Linked DNA regions of Danio rerio. The protein of the gene in region 1 interacts with the protein of each later gene in a pairwise test. Links are inferred from orthologs where the notes say so. Each region holds a gene or a part of one and is shown in the gene's direction. Other genes may lie near its edges. The genes, in order: dazap2, rabgef1 and stam2.

Region 1 (3,657 bases):
AAACTTTTAGAAATCTGAAGAAATCTGAATGACATGAAAAGACATGATGAGGTTGTTTACACAAGATGCCATATCAGACGCTCAGGACTCACTCATAGACATTTACTCAAAGGATAATTTAAAACATACTATGGAAATGCTTTATTTTTAATTTTATCAGTCAATGATTTTTATCCTTATTTTTATCTCCACCAACATGTAATTACTGTCAAGCTGCTCTCACCATAAAACACATCATATTAGATTGTGAATGTTTAAGGACAAGATTTTATAAAGAAAACACTTTGAAAGATGTTCAATAAAAAGTTTCATCATGATGAAGTTATTTATAAAATCATATTTAACTTTTAATAAACAGTTATTGTGAATTGTATTTATTTATATATTTGTTTGTGTATCAAGTCCTATATGATGTTTTTATGTATATTGACTTTGCCATGAAATTGCCACAAATTGCTGATGTGGCAATAAATAAATAAAATATGTGGCGAGACTTTAAAGGGAATATTTTTAAATGGGAATCCTTCAAAAAATACTAGAATTTTTATCAAAAGTAAATCTCAAAATGATTTTTTTAAATCTAATTTTTTAAAATTATTTTATTATTATTTATTACTGTGATGTCCTTTTTATTGTTTGTGTATTATAGAAAAGTGAAATTTCTAAAATGAAGCTGATATGGCAATGAATTCATAACTTTCTCTCGAGATTTTGAATTTTACTACTAGTCACAGGTGTAAGTTTTGATATCTTGAGGCATTTGACAAAGCATGATGTACAATTTAACATGTCAACAATTTAGAAAATGACATCTTTTACACTTGCAATTAAATCAAAAAAGAAGAGGTTGGATTAAAACATAAACACTTTACATTTAAATACTGCACTATAAAAAAGTAGATACTTTTAACCCTACTGTTGTGTTCCTGGTCAAAATTGACCATTCTGCTTCTAACTGCTCTTAAATGAGCTCACAAAAACAAAACAAAAATCAGTCTAAAATAAGTGTGTGAGTGAGTAAGTGATTGAGATGGGGTGGGTGTTTTCTATCTGATAGATGAATCCAATCTGAAGACCCATTCATTTCATATGGCGGTTACTTTTGACCAGGAACACCACAGGTGTAACAAAATTGATTAAAACACTCAAAATTGAATGAAAATGAAAGAGGGGATCATCACTATATGTTCAAGTACATAGTGTGAAGGATATCATAAAGCCTCGAGGCAATCAGATGTAAAACACAATTTTTATGAGTGTTTTAAATTGTAAATCGGTCAGATTTGACCCGAAAACGACATGAAGGTTTGCCACAAATGAGTGTAAGCTGCTGATATCGTGACTTCAGATAAAATCAATATGAAATATTCCATGTTTTTAGACCTTTAGAGATGTATAGAATTATAGGTGTGCATTTTAACTTATGCATCAAATATGCACTCCAAACCTTTCTTCGTTGAGAGGTGTTGAATTCTTCCGTCATTTGCATTGTTTTGATAGTCAATTTTCTTAACAATTTTTTTTATCTATTATTTTTCTATGAAGCTGCTTCTGGCCTTGACATGTTCACACTAAACGGCTATAAGAGACATGTTTAGGGTTATATGTGCAACATCCTTTATTTATTCTCTTCGGCAGGGGTGTCCACACTCGGTCCTGGAGGGCCGGTGTCCTGGAGAGTATAGCTCCAACCCTAATCAAACACACCTGAACAAGCTAATCAAGCTCTTGCAAGGTATAGTAGAAACTTCCAGGCAGGTGTGTTGAAGCATGTTGGAGCTAAAGTCAGCAGGACACCAGCCCTCCAGGACCGACTTTGGACACCCCTGCTCTTAGGAGAGCTCTCATACTTGTAACATACTTGGAGGTGAAATGCTGTGCTTTATGCATTATAAAGCTTGAAGCATCAGAATCGGTACTCGTTTTTTAAATTTTTTTATTATTACTTAAGGTGTGAAATCATGGAATGTATTATATTGACCTGTTATCAGTTGATTATATCATTATGTAAATATAAGTTGTACAATTATTACTTTTACATACATTACATTAATGTTAGCCATAATAATAGTATGATTTCCCACATTTTGAGTCCTATAAAAAAGTGAAATCGTGATATGCAAGAAGCTTTCAACCTGTAGGGCGTCAACTGATCATTAATTAGTATTCATTTGAAGTGAATGCTAAATTTATTGACTATTTCTGATGAATGTTTGACAAATGTCAGTGTTAAAAATTGAGTGACAAAATAGAACAAATCTGCAATCTCCTACTATAATTTCATAATAGAATTGAAAGAAGGGGCTATGCCAAACGTGTTTACAGATTAGTTTGGTACAAAGTGATGTATTCCACTTTTCTAGCCATTTTAGTCATCATTAAATCAGTAAATTGAAAATTCCTGGTTCAGTGTGTTTCAGTGTTTCTCAACCATGTTCCTGGAGGCTCACCAACACTACGTTTTGGATGTCTCCTTTCTCTGTCACATCTATTACAGGTATTTCAGTCTCTGCTAATGAGCTGATGATCTGATTCAGGTGTGTTTGGTTACATGGAAAATGTGCAGAGATGGTGGTCCTCCAGGAACGTGGTTGAGAAACACTGGCTCTATTTGAAGGTCTTATGAATTTTGCTGGTTTCGGTCTACCTTGAAAATGTCACCTCTCAAAGTCTACCATCCAAAATGGACAATTTTAGAAATCCATGAAAACTGTATTTTGCACAACTGAGACAAATAGATGCAAATGCACTGCTATGACCTTTTCCCCTGGCATGTATGTGACTGAAAATGAATTGTGTATATAAAATGTCCATCTTTTTCTCTCTTTTGAAGCCTCCACCTCCCGGACACCTCCCTAACGCGGCTCAGATGGCAGCCATGCAGGGTGCAAATGTCGTGATGACACAGCGCAAGGGCAACTTTTTCATGGGTGGCTCCAGCGGTGGTTACACCATCTGGTAACAGTGAACACCCCTCTGGGCCTGGACCGAAGCCCTCCTTCCTTCCTCCCCACCCCCTGGTTCCCTTTACCTGTTCTCCCACCCCCCTGCCTCCTTTGGGGCTGCTTGGCTAAGCCACAATACTGATTTAATCTAATGGAATGTAATATTTTAGAGCCCCTTACTCGAGGTACAATGCGCCACTGTTGATATGATTGTGTAATATTGCAATTATATAATGTGTAATGCGTATTCACAATTAAAAAAGCGCATGGTAATTGTAGGTTTGCTCATACGTGTCGTTTAATTATTGGTTATAGAGGGAAGACGACTTTTAAGGTGAAAACCAGGTCATTTTTACCTTTAGCGGAACTGGCATACCTCTTGCAGCTTCATTTTTTTTAACAGTACTACTTTTGTTTTGGTTTTAGAGCCAGAGATCATGCCAAGAAAACTGCCCGGTCAGTTTGATCATCTGTGTAAAGTAGCTATGCACTCAAACCTTTCTCTTTGAATAGTACGCTTATCCATGCTCATTCATATCATTATTACGGTCTTGCCAGATATGTCAAATGCGAATTTAAGCCGTCTAAATCAAAGAGAAAGATGTGTTTACAAACTGAAACAACAACAACAGTGGTGTATTGTACCTTTGGGCAAGCTTATATAAATGTTATCAGGTGCCAAAATTGCACCATTATTTAAAAGCTAAGGAAT
Region 2 (4,293 bases), on another chromosome or scaffold:
GCTCTTATTGTGCTGATAATAAACCATATATTTTGCAATCTATTAAAAGCATTTGCCACATATTTTGAACGCTATGAGATTGTAACTTTATAAAAAAAATTTAATGTTTTTGTAATAGTTTTTTTTCTTTCTTTTTTATTATTGGATTCAAAAACAGTCAATAATAGAGTGCAGAAACTTGGAACATTAGAAAAAAATGTTGTTACAATCTGTGTTATACAGATAAGAAAGAAGAAGAAAAAAAAAACTTTTTGACTTTTAAAAGACTTTTTGTTTTTTATGCTCATTAAAAACAAAATATATGACTTATAGTCAATTTAAAAAATAGCCAGAAAATGATTTCCCCCCAAAACTTTACACATAAATTTACAAAAAACTTACCCATTATAATAAAACGATTAACAATGTACTGAATGCAAGATTTAGAGTTGTAATAAAAAAATATTACGCCAAAAGTATTTAAACAAATATCAACATTTGTCTTTATATGGTTCGGTCCAAAATAATTTAACAATTACATTCACAAGAAAAATGCACAATGATTTCTTCCAAGTCACAAAATATACTTTTGTTTTTTTTAAATATCTTATGTACTAATTTTTTTGTCTTTCAAAAACAATTTAGGCCAAACTCAATCCAAACATAATTTTGCACAAACTGACTAAGACATATCAGATATACAGTGAATCAAATATAAAGCCATAAAATTTACACAAAACAAAAAACTTATACAAAATACCTTGCAGACATCACAAAGAAACCATGTAAGGGGTTAAATAAAACCATATTCTTGAAACATATCATACAAATGTCTAGCCTTCTCACCCTTCATTACTTTTTAAAGCTTCTACATGGGTGGCAAACTCCCCTTTAAAGGCAATCAATTGAGGAGCTGTTTTCAAAATTTTGCATTTATGAATGAAGAATTAAGGTAAAATAAGTAAACAAATTGCAGTTAGGTCATCCTCTTTGATGTCCAAATGTACTCCAAATTCCACAATAATTGTTCCAACAAATAGAGGGAAACATTGAAATATATAGTTTTACCCAGTTGTCTGTTTTCAATATCTTGCATATATTTACTCACCAAACTATTACAAGGATAGCATCTATTTGAAATTTTATATGTAATTTATTTTACTTTGTTATTTAGCAAATACTTATGTGGAAGATTCCAAGTAACGTCTCAATTAATGTTATATGTGGACAGCCATTTAAAAGAAGAAGCTGGAATTGTTTTATGGTTACGTTTTCGTGAATGTTGACATTTCGAGATCAGCCCAGCCAGTGTCCCTCCCTCACCAGTCGCCTGGATATGACGTCGTTGTGACCCGGAGAAGAGACCGCTGACGAGGTACACGTCCTCTGTATTAAGATTAAACACTGTATTTTGCCATTCATCTCTTAAATATGTTGTTTTGCCTATTTATAAACGGAAAGTTGCAGAGTTATGCCATATACTGCCAACCAAGAGTTGCGTTTGTTTTTAGCCACGTAGCTGTTTTGCTAGCTTGATGTGTTGACTGCCTGCGGCGGGTTGAATGACATTTTGTTATTTTCGGTAGATAAAATATGCCTTATAAGATTAGTTTCTGCCCGCATGTTAAAATAACCAGACAAATAATTAAGTTACCTCAATTTACTGGATTTAAATGTCAAATAAGACATACAATTCTTAAATCAATATAAGTCAATCCAATATTACGCTGAGTTTAGTGTCATCTAAGTTAACTTTAGCTAATCAAAGTTTGTCCTTAAAGTATTTATTCATTTAAACTATAATAGATGTTTAATTGTTTCATTTTCTTTTTGGTTTGTTCTACGCAATTGGTTGATTGACATCAGATTTATTAATCAAGTTACTAATTTATTTAAGAAATTATTGACTTTAGCTTAATATTAAATAATCAGTAAAACTATTTATTTCCCTCCCATTTACCTCTGAAATATCAATCTTAGTTTTAATATGGTAGTATGAATATCTCATTACTTTCATTTTCATTTGTCATGCTCTTTAAATGACTCATCTCGTTGGCAGCAATGTTGATATCTGTGGTTGCTCTGCAAGTATTGTCTGCAGAGCAAATTGTGTAATGTAACTCCTGTTGACTTGCTTCATGCATGTTTAGTTCACAATGCCAGTGTTCGCAATAGCTTCATTGTACATAACCTTCCAGAATAAACAACTGTGTCAAATTCAGTCGCCAAAGAGATTATAAAGTATAACAGGTTAGACTTTTCAAAAGGGACTCATTGTTAAATACTAGTTAATGCATTAAGTGTCATTATCAGTGAGTAATAGCTACATTTATGAACTAACAATTGGAATCAGAACATTTTCAATCAATCTCAGGCATGTCATAGGCCAGATTAAAGTGAATATATTTGCGTTTGGAAATAATGACCTGTTCAGTCTTCAGCATTTGGGCGCATTGATGAACATCGCAGTAAATACCACAATTTGAATTAGGGTTGCACGATATTGGGAAAACTGACAGTGTTTTGTTTTCCTGTGATATTAAGTTAATTTCACCGAATGAAATGAATAGCTCCATTTGAGAAAAAAAAATTAGATGTTTATCAGGATGACTTTGTAGGGAAGTGTATCTGCATAAAATATAATAAATCAATCACAATAATTGATAAAAACAGTAGAGCAATGATACACATGAAACACAATTGTTGTCTGGGAGACTAGCAGTGTTCAGGTGCAGAAAATGAATAAGCAAATGAAAACGACACTATTGTCTTAATTGTACATAAGCTCAATTCATCTTTCTTAAAGTTAAACACATTTTTTTGTGACTGAATATTTTAATCTCATTTGAAATGGTCATACAGTCTCAGACCTTAAAAAACTATACACTTTTAGGCAACTTTACCTTACAAATAATACAAATGAGAAAAGAAGTATCTTTTGTGTTTTGAGTTTTGCATGCACTAAGCACTTTATTTCCACTTTGTACTAATAAAATAAGATGGGACTGAAAGTATCTAGGCAAGTAATTATTAATATTTGGATATGATACTTCTGATGGACTATATAAACTTTGCAATCACTCCAATAATAACATGTATTCTCAACTGTTACTTGCTTCTGGTCAAATATAACCCTGACTGGACATTACAGATCTTGTGATGTTACTATTGTGGATACATAAATTGGGATATCAGTGCTGAAAAGATACATTGTGCAACCCTAAATTGAATATTCTTTTTTAAATAATTTTTTTATTTATTTATGTATTTATTTTTTTATTGACAGTTAACAAACAAAAGTAACAGAGAAAAAAATATATATATAAATTTATCAGTATAAAATTGATTAAAAGAATAAAAATGAACCACACTATAAGCCTAATATTGTGCAACAAACAGTATATGATGTGCATAAACAATATATGATGTGCATTCATTTAACAAATTAAACATACAAAAGTCAGTACCGAAAGTTGAGATTGGCAGCATGGTGTATTAGGTAAAATTAATAATGATAATAAAAGAAAAAAGAAAAAAAATTAAAAGAGCAAGAGAAAAGGGGATTAAACTGAATATGCTAGGGGGGTGGCACATTCTTTAAACTTGCGGTTTTATGTCTGGAAGAGTTTTATGCTTGTGCTACATCAGGACTAGTACTCATCTGGAAAGTACAGACTAAAAGAGCAAGATTTTCAACCATTCATTCGACAGTACCTGCTTCAAGTTTCAGAGATTTGACATGCTCCATGAATGGCAAATAAATGTTAGAAAACTTGATCACTGGACCTTGACTATATTTATTTTTTTCTAATTTAACAAAAATAAGGCATCTTTAATCTATTGAGTATGGTATGGGGGTTGAGGAGACCTCCACTGCTACAAAACACACCACCTAGCCAATAATGACAGAAAAGCTGCTAATTTAGAAAAATAAACGGGTAACTCACAGTAAGGGAGTAGAACTCCAAACAGGCCATCGGAAAAGGATACATTTGAACAGATGTCATTTCTGAAAATGAATCAAAAACAGACTTCCAAAAAGGAAACAAGGTCCAAAACGTGAACTAGATTTGCAGGTTCAGCCTGACATATGTCACAGTTTGGATCAATAGCTGGGAACATGCAACTCAGTTTACACTTAAACCAGTAAACTCTGTGGACTACTTTGCACTGTAGAATCTCATGGCGAGCACATACAGATGATATATGGACCTTTTGTAACTAAATTGAATATTCTTAAAAGGCATTCTGAGTTTAAATAATGAATAATTATTCCCTTTAAATTGAAGTGTGCACAATAACAGTATCATGCAT
Region 3 (4,305 bases), on another chromosome or scaffold:
TAAAAGAAGTGATTTTAACAAATGATTTGGATAATTTTATTAATAGAAATCCATTATTTTTTTTTTTTTATTTAAGGCAAAGTATAGTCACAAAGTATATCCAATGCTTCACATTCGCCATGAATTTGCTAAATAAGCTTTACATTACATATGCTCATGTAAAAAACAACGATGAGTGATTTAGAAACGAATCGGCTGTCTCGAATCGAATCGATTAGTTCCTGAAACGGACATTATTGTGCAACAGTTTCTGGGTTACTAGGTCTAAGGTGCGCTTAATTCACTGCCTAGTCTAATGTCTACAAACTATACAAGGCTACATTCAAACTAACAAAGACACTAAATTCACTACAAGCCCTGTTACAACGCTGCCCAAACAAACCAGCGACTGTAAAACAAGAACAATGCATTCATGCAACAACAACCAATGCTCGCTGTCACCCATCACCAACCCTACGGCGAGTTAAATAAGCGATAATAGGCTTTACGTTACACCGCATTTGGATTGCACAGCAGACATGTGCAGAATAACTTTGTTGAAATGTTTCAGCTTTCAAATTAAACAGTGTTAAATAATACAATATAGACTCAATGGGGGAGGTGACCGCGATTCTGTCATACAGGCTGAAGAAATCCAACCATTCATTTCTGCTGTCACACACACACACACACACACACACGCTTGAAGAGAGAAGCACGGAAGCGCATTTGATTTCCACCATACCCTGCTGTCATAATCACGTTGTAAATGACCAGATATGCTGTGGCCAGTGTTCCGGGGCCCTTTTTCTTCTTGTGACCGGACTCACTGTGCGCTGTTTTGCTGGTCCCCATGGCAGGTGCCGACATGACTGAACTATCATTAGAAAGACTGGATCATCCAATGGTCCCGGTGGATAAAGGCGTGTGGCCTTGCTGACATGTAAAAAAGCTGCTTATGAATCCAGCGCCCTCTGGTGAGGACAGAGTGTAAACAATGCTTTGTTTTTTCAGTTACAGACTAGCGTCGTCTTTTTCGCAAGCATTTACATCAAATACAACTAAAATAATATGATTACAGTAATGTATGTGAATATATTGAGATTATTTAAAGTGAATTATGATGTTCTAGAAACATCTAAACTAGCCGCTAGATGGCAGTGCGAGTCTTGAAGTCAGAGCGCACTTCTGACTCAACCTATGCGCCTGTCTGAAATATAAACATATATATTTTTAAATATGCACAAGTATAATAATTTACTGGTTAAATTTTGAGTATTAATATAATTTGTGAACATGCTGCTTTAAATGTAGAATATGTTGACAGTTTCCTGGATGTATTTTCTGGCAGGCATTGCGCTCGTCTACTAAGTTTACGGAAGAGCAACTGGTGGAAGTGAACGCAATTTAATGGATGAGAGAAGGATAAATCGTCGATCTACGTAGATAATACGCTTCAGTTTTTTTCTTTGACACATAGGAAAAGGTTACAAAATGCCGTTGTTTGGTCAAAACCCGTTCGATCAGGATGTGGGTGAGTTTGGCAGTGTTGTTTTTGTCGAAGTGATGTGGTCTTGACAAGTCAGTAACTAAGGGCCGATCCAGCAGCGCTCCGTTCACTGCAAGATCCTCAAGAGCTCTGTTATTGTTTTGTTTATCGGTCATTCATAACTTATTTATCAAAATCTAACTATTAAAGCTGTCAAATGTAAAATAGATAACTGACAGTGTCTTTGGGATGTTGTTTTGAATTTCAAGAACTTTTTAGATGAACACTAAATGCTGAAATTATTCTTTTTTCCATCAAAATTTCTTTTATTTTGAATTATGTCAACACAATAAACATGACGTAGATGACAGCATAGCAGTGTGCATAAGAAAATACATTTAATAATCAAAATATAGGAATACAGGTTTTTGAATAATATTAATATTTGTAATAAGGGCAACAACAATAATAGTGACAATAAGAATAAAAAACTGAAGAATAAACGACAAAGACATACTAAAACAAATGATAATTATAAATATATACACACACACACACACACATATATATATGTACCGGTCAAGTGTTTGAGGTCAGTTTTTATTAAATTCTTCATTTTTTTAGTTAATATTGTATGTAGTTTCAAATGAAATTATTACTCCGTTCATTAATGCTTTTATTACTTTTTTCATTAATTATAAAAAAATAATAATCATAATAATTAATATTAGAGAGATTTCTCATGTGACTCTGAAGTAATGAAGCTGAAAAAGCATCTTTAAAATCACTGGAATTAATGAATAAATTAAATTATAAAGTACTTTTGAACAGTTATTTTATAGTGCAATACCATTTTACAATTGTACAGTTTGTCCTGTAATAAAGGCAAAAAATAAAGGCAGCCTTAGTGAGCAGGAGAAGCTTATTTTAATACACACACACACACACACACACACACACACACGTATATATATATATATATATATATATATATATATATATATATATATATATATATATATATATATATATATTATATTATAATTATTATTACTATTAGGCCAGCTCAAAGTAAATAATTAAAAGAATAGTAATAAACAAATAGATTAAGATATTCGAAAACATACTGATAGAAGTCTACGGCAATGAAGTAAAGTTAGTAAAAGCCCAAACAGGGAACCTTAAACAACTACACCAAAACCATAAGTTTTTTTGTTTTTGGATGTCTCCTTGATTCAAATTATATTGAAATTGTTTTTAAATTTATTTTATTGCTTGATTACTGACAAAAATATTTTTTAAATATATATTTTTGTGGCAGGGTCTTCAGTACGAAATATGAAAATTCTTTAATGCTCCAATAAGTCATATAAAAAAGTAATAATAATTTAATAATAATAATTTATTAATATTTAATAATTTAATAATAATAATAGTTGTAATAATACTTTCTTTATATGCTTTGATTTTATTATTCTGGATGTTTACGATAATATTATTTATTATTATTTAGTGTAAAATAATAAATTAATCTAGTTAAAAATAATATAATAAAACATAATTGTGTATTTTTAATAATAATTCATGCTGATTTTAAGATCAAAACGTTCATTTTTAATTAAAAAACGTTTTTATTTTATGTTTTATTTTATTTATTTATATTTATTTTTAATTTCTAGTAAGCTTAAGATTCAGGTATTTATTCTGTATGTTATATTAAAATATTGTTTCATATAATTTAGTATAAAATAATAACAAATAACTGTAATTAAAACAATGTAATTATAACAAATAATAATGTATTACTATGCTGATACTTATGATCAAAATGTCCTGTTTTAAAAGTTTCTGATTTAAAAAAAAAAACGTTTTATTTTATGTTTTATTTGATTTATTTATATTTTTTATTTCTTGTAAGCATGAATGGGTGGAAGATTAATAGGAGCTCAGTTGTCAAAAGGCGTGGAACCTAACAGCACACAATAGCATGATCTTTGGTTTTATTTTCAAAGCTTTGTCCTTTTAGAATTCAGTTTATATAAACGTGTGAAACTGTATGTTCCTTTATGGAGGAAATTAAGGCATATTATTATTGTTCATTTTATTTATTTATTCATGAATATGTACTTTTCTAGATGTTGCAATTCAAGACGTCGTTGTTACGAGTAAGAATTAGTCATAAAAATGTGCCCAGTTGCTTTGTTCTTAAAGGAGGGGGCAAATAATTTCTGCTGGTGGATTATGACAGAAACTGTTGTGCCTGTTGTGACAAGCTGTAAATGTAAAATAACAGGCAAAACAGGCTGTCACTGCTTAACGGTATGCATATCTTATTTTCAATAAACCTATCCTTCGAACTCAGGGATGCAAAACTGATAACTAAAACTAAAAGATTTTCTTTTTAAAATTGTGGTTTTTATTAGTTTTAGTTTTTTAGTGTTTTGTTAACAGCATTTATGGTAAATGAGAAGACATTTCCTCCTGCTGGTTTAGACGTTTGTCAAACACTTATCAGTTTTTTTGATATGGTTCTAGAATGACCTTGCGTTAAGAGTCTCATTTGAATGCTCATTTGTATTTTCAGAGAAAGCAACTAGTGAAACCAACACAGTGGAGGACTGGGGCCTCATTATGGATATCTGTGACCGTGTCGGGACAGCTCCAAATGGGTGAGCTGAAAAATCAACACGCAAACAATATATGAATAGTTTTTCTAAATTCTAATTTTATTACCAGGTAGTTACCTTAATGTCACTAGTATATAGGGATGCACCGATCCTGATATTTGGATCAGATATCGGTTCGATAAAGAGCCATTTGAGGAGAGCTGAGCTCCA

What was found.
Region 2: the proteins of dazap2 (region 1) and rabgef1 interact in binary tests that used the Homo sapiens proteins (3 or more experiments, as listed by UniProt). The two-hybrid records come from large-scale screens. The link is inferred for Danio rerio from reciprocal best matches to the Homo sapiens genes DAZAP2 and RABGEF1.
Region 3: the proteins of dazap2 (region 1) and stam2 interact in binary tests that used the Homo sapiens proteins (3 or more experiments, as listed by UniProt). The two-hybrid records come from large-scale screens. The link is inferred for Danio rerio from reciprocal best matches to the Homo sapiens genes DAZAP2 and STAM2.

What each region holds. Positions count from the first base shown.
Region 1 is NC_133198.1:36,683,720-36,687,376, forward strand, and holds part of dazap2 (DAZ-associated protein 2), read left to right. Parts: intron 1-852; exon of another isoform or gene 853-1,656; intron 1,657-1,861; exon of another isoform or gene 1,862-2,431; intron 2,432-2,833; coding exon 2,834-2,962; 3' UTR 2,963-3,657. UniProt on the Homo sapiens protein: In unstressed cells, promotes SIAH1-mediated polyubiquitination and degradation of the serine/threonine-protein kinase HIPK2, probably by acting as a loading factor that potentiates complex formation between HIPK2 and ubiquitin ligase SIAH1.
Region 2 is NC_133185.1:37,879,205-37,883,497, reverse strand, and holds the start of rabgef1 (rab5 GDP/GTP exchange factor), read left to right. Parts: upstream 1-1,344; 5' UTR 1,345-1,354; intron 1,355-4,293. UniProt on the Homo sapiens protein: Rab effector protein acting as linker between gamma-adaptin, RAB4A or RAB5A. Involved in endocytic membrane fusion and membrane trafficking of recycling endosomes. Stimulates nucleotide exchange on RAB5A. Can act as a ubiquitin ligase.
Region 3 is NC_133184.1:39,754,754-39,759,058, forward strand, and holds the start of stam2 (signal transducing adapter molecule 2), read left to right. Parts: upstream 1-1,348; 5' UTR 1,349-1,473; coding exon 1,474-1,513; intron 1,514-4,052; coding exon 4,053-4,137; intron 4,138-4,305. Other genes in the region: hacd2 (very-long-chain (3R)-3-hydroxyacyl-CoA dehydratase 2), read right to left, coding at 725-849.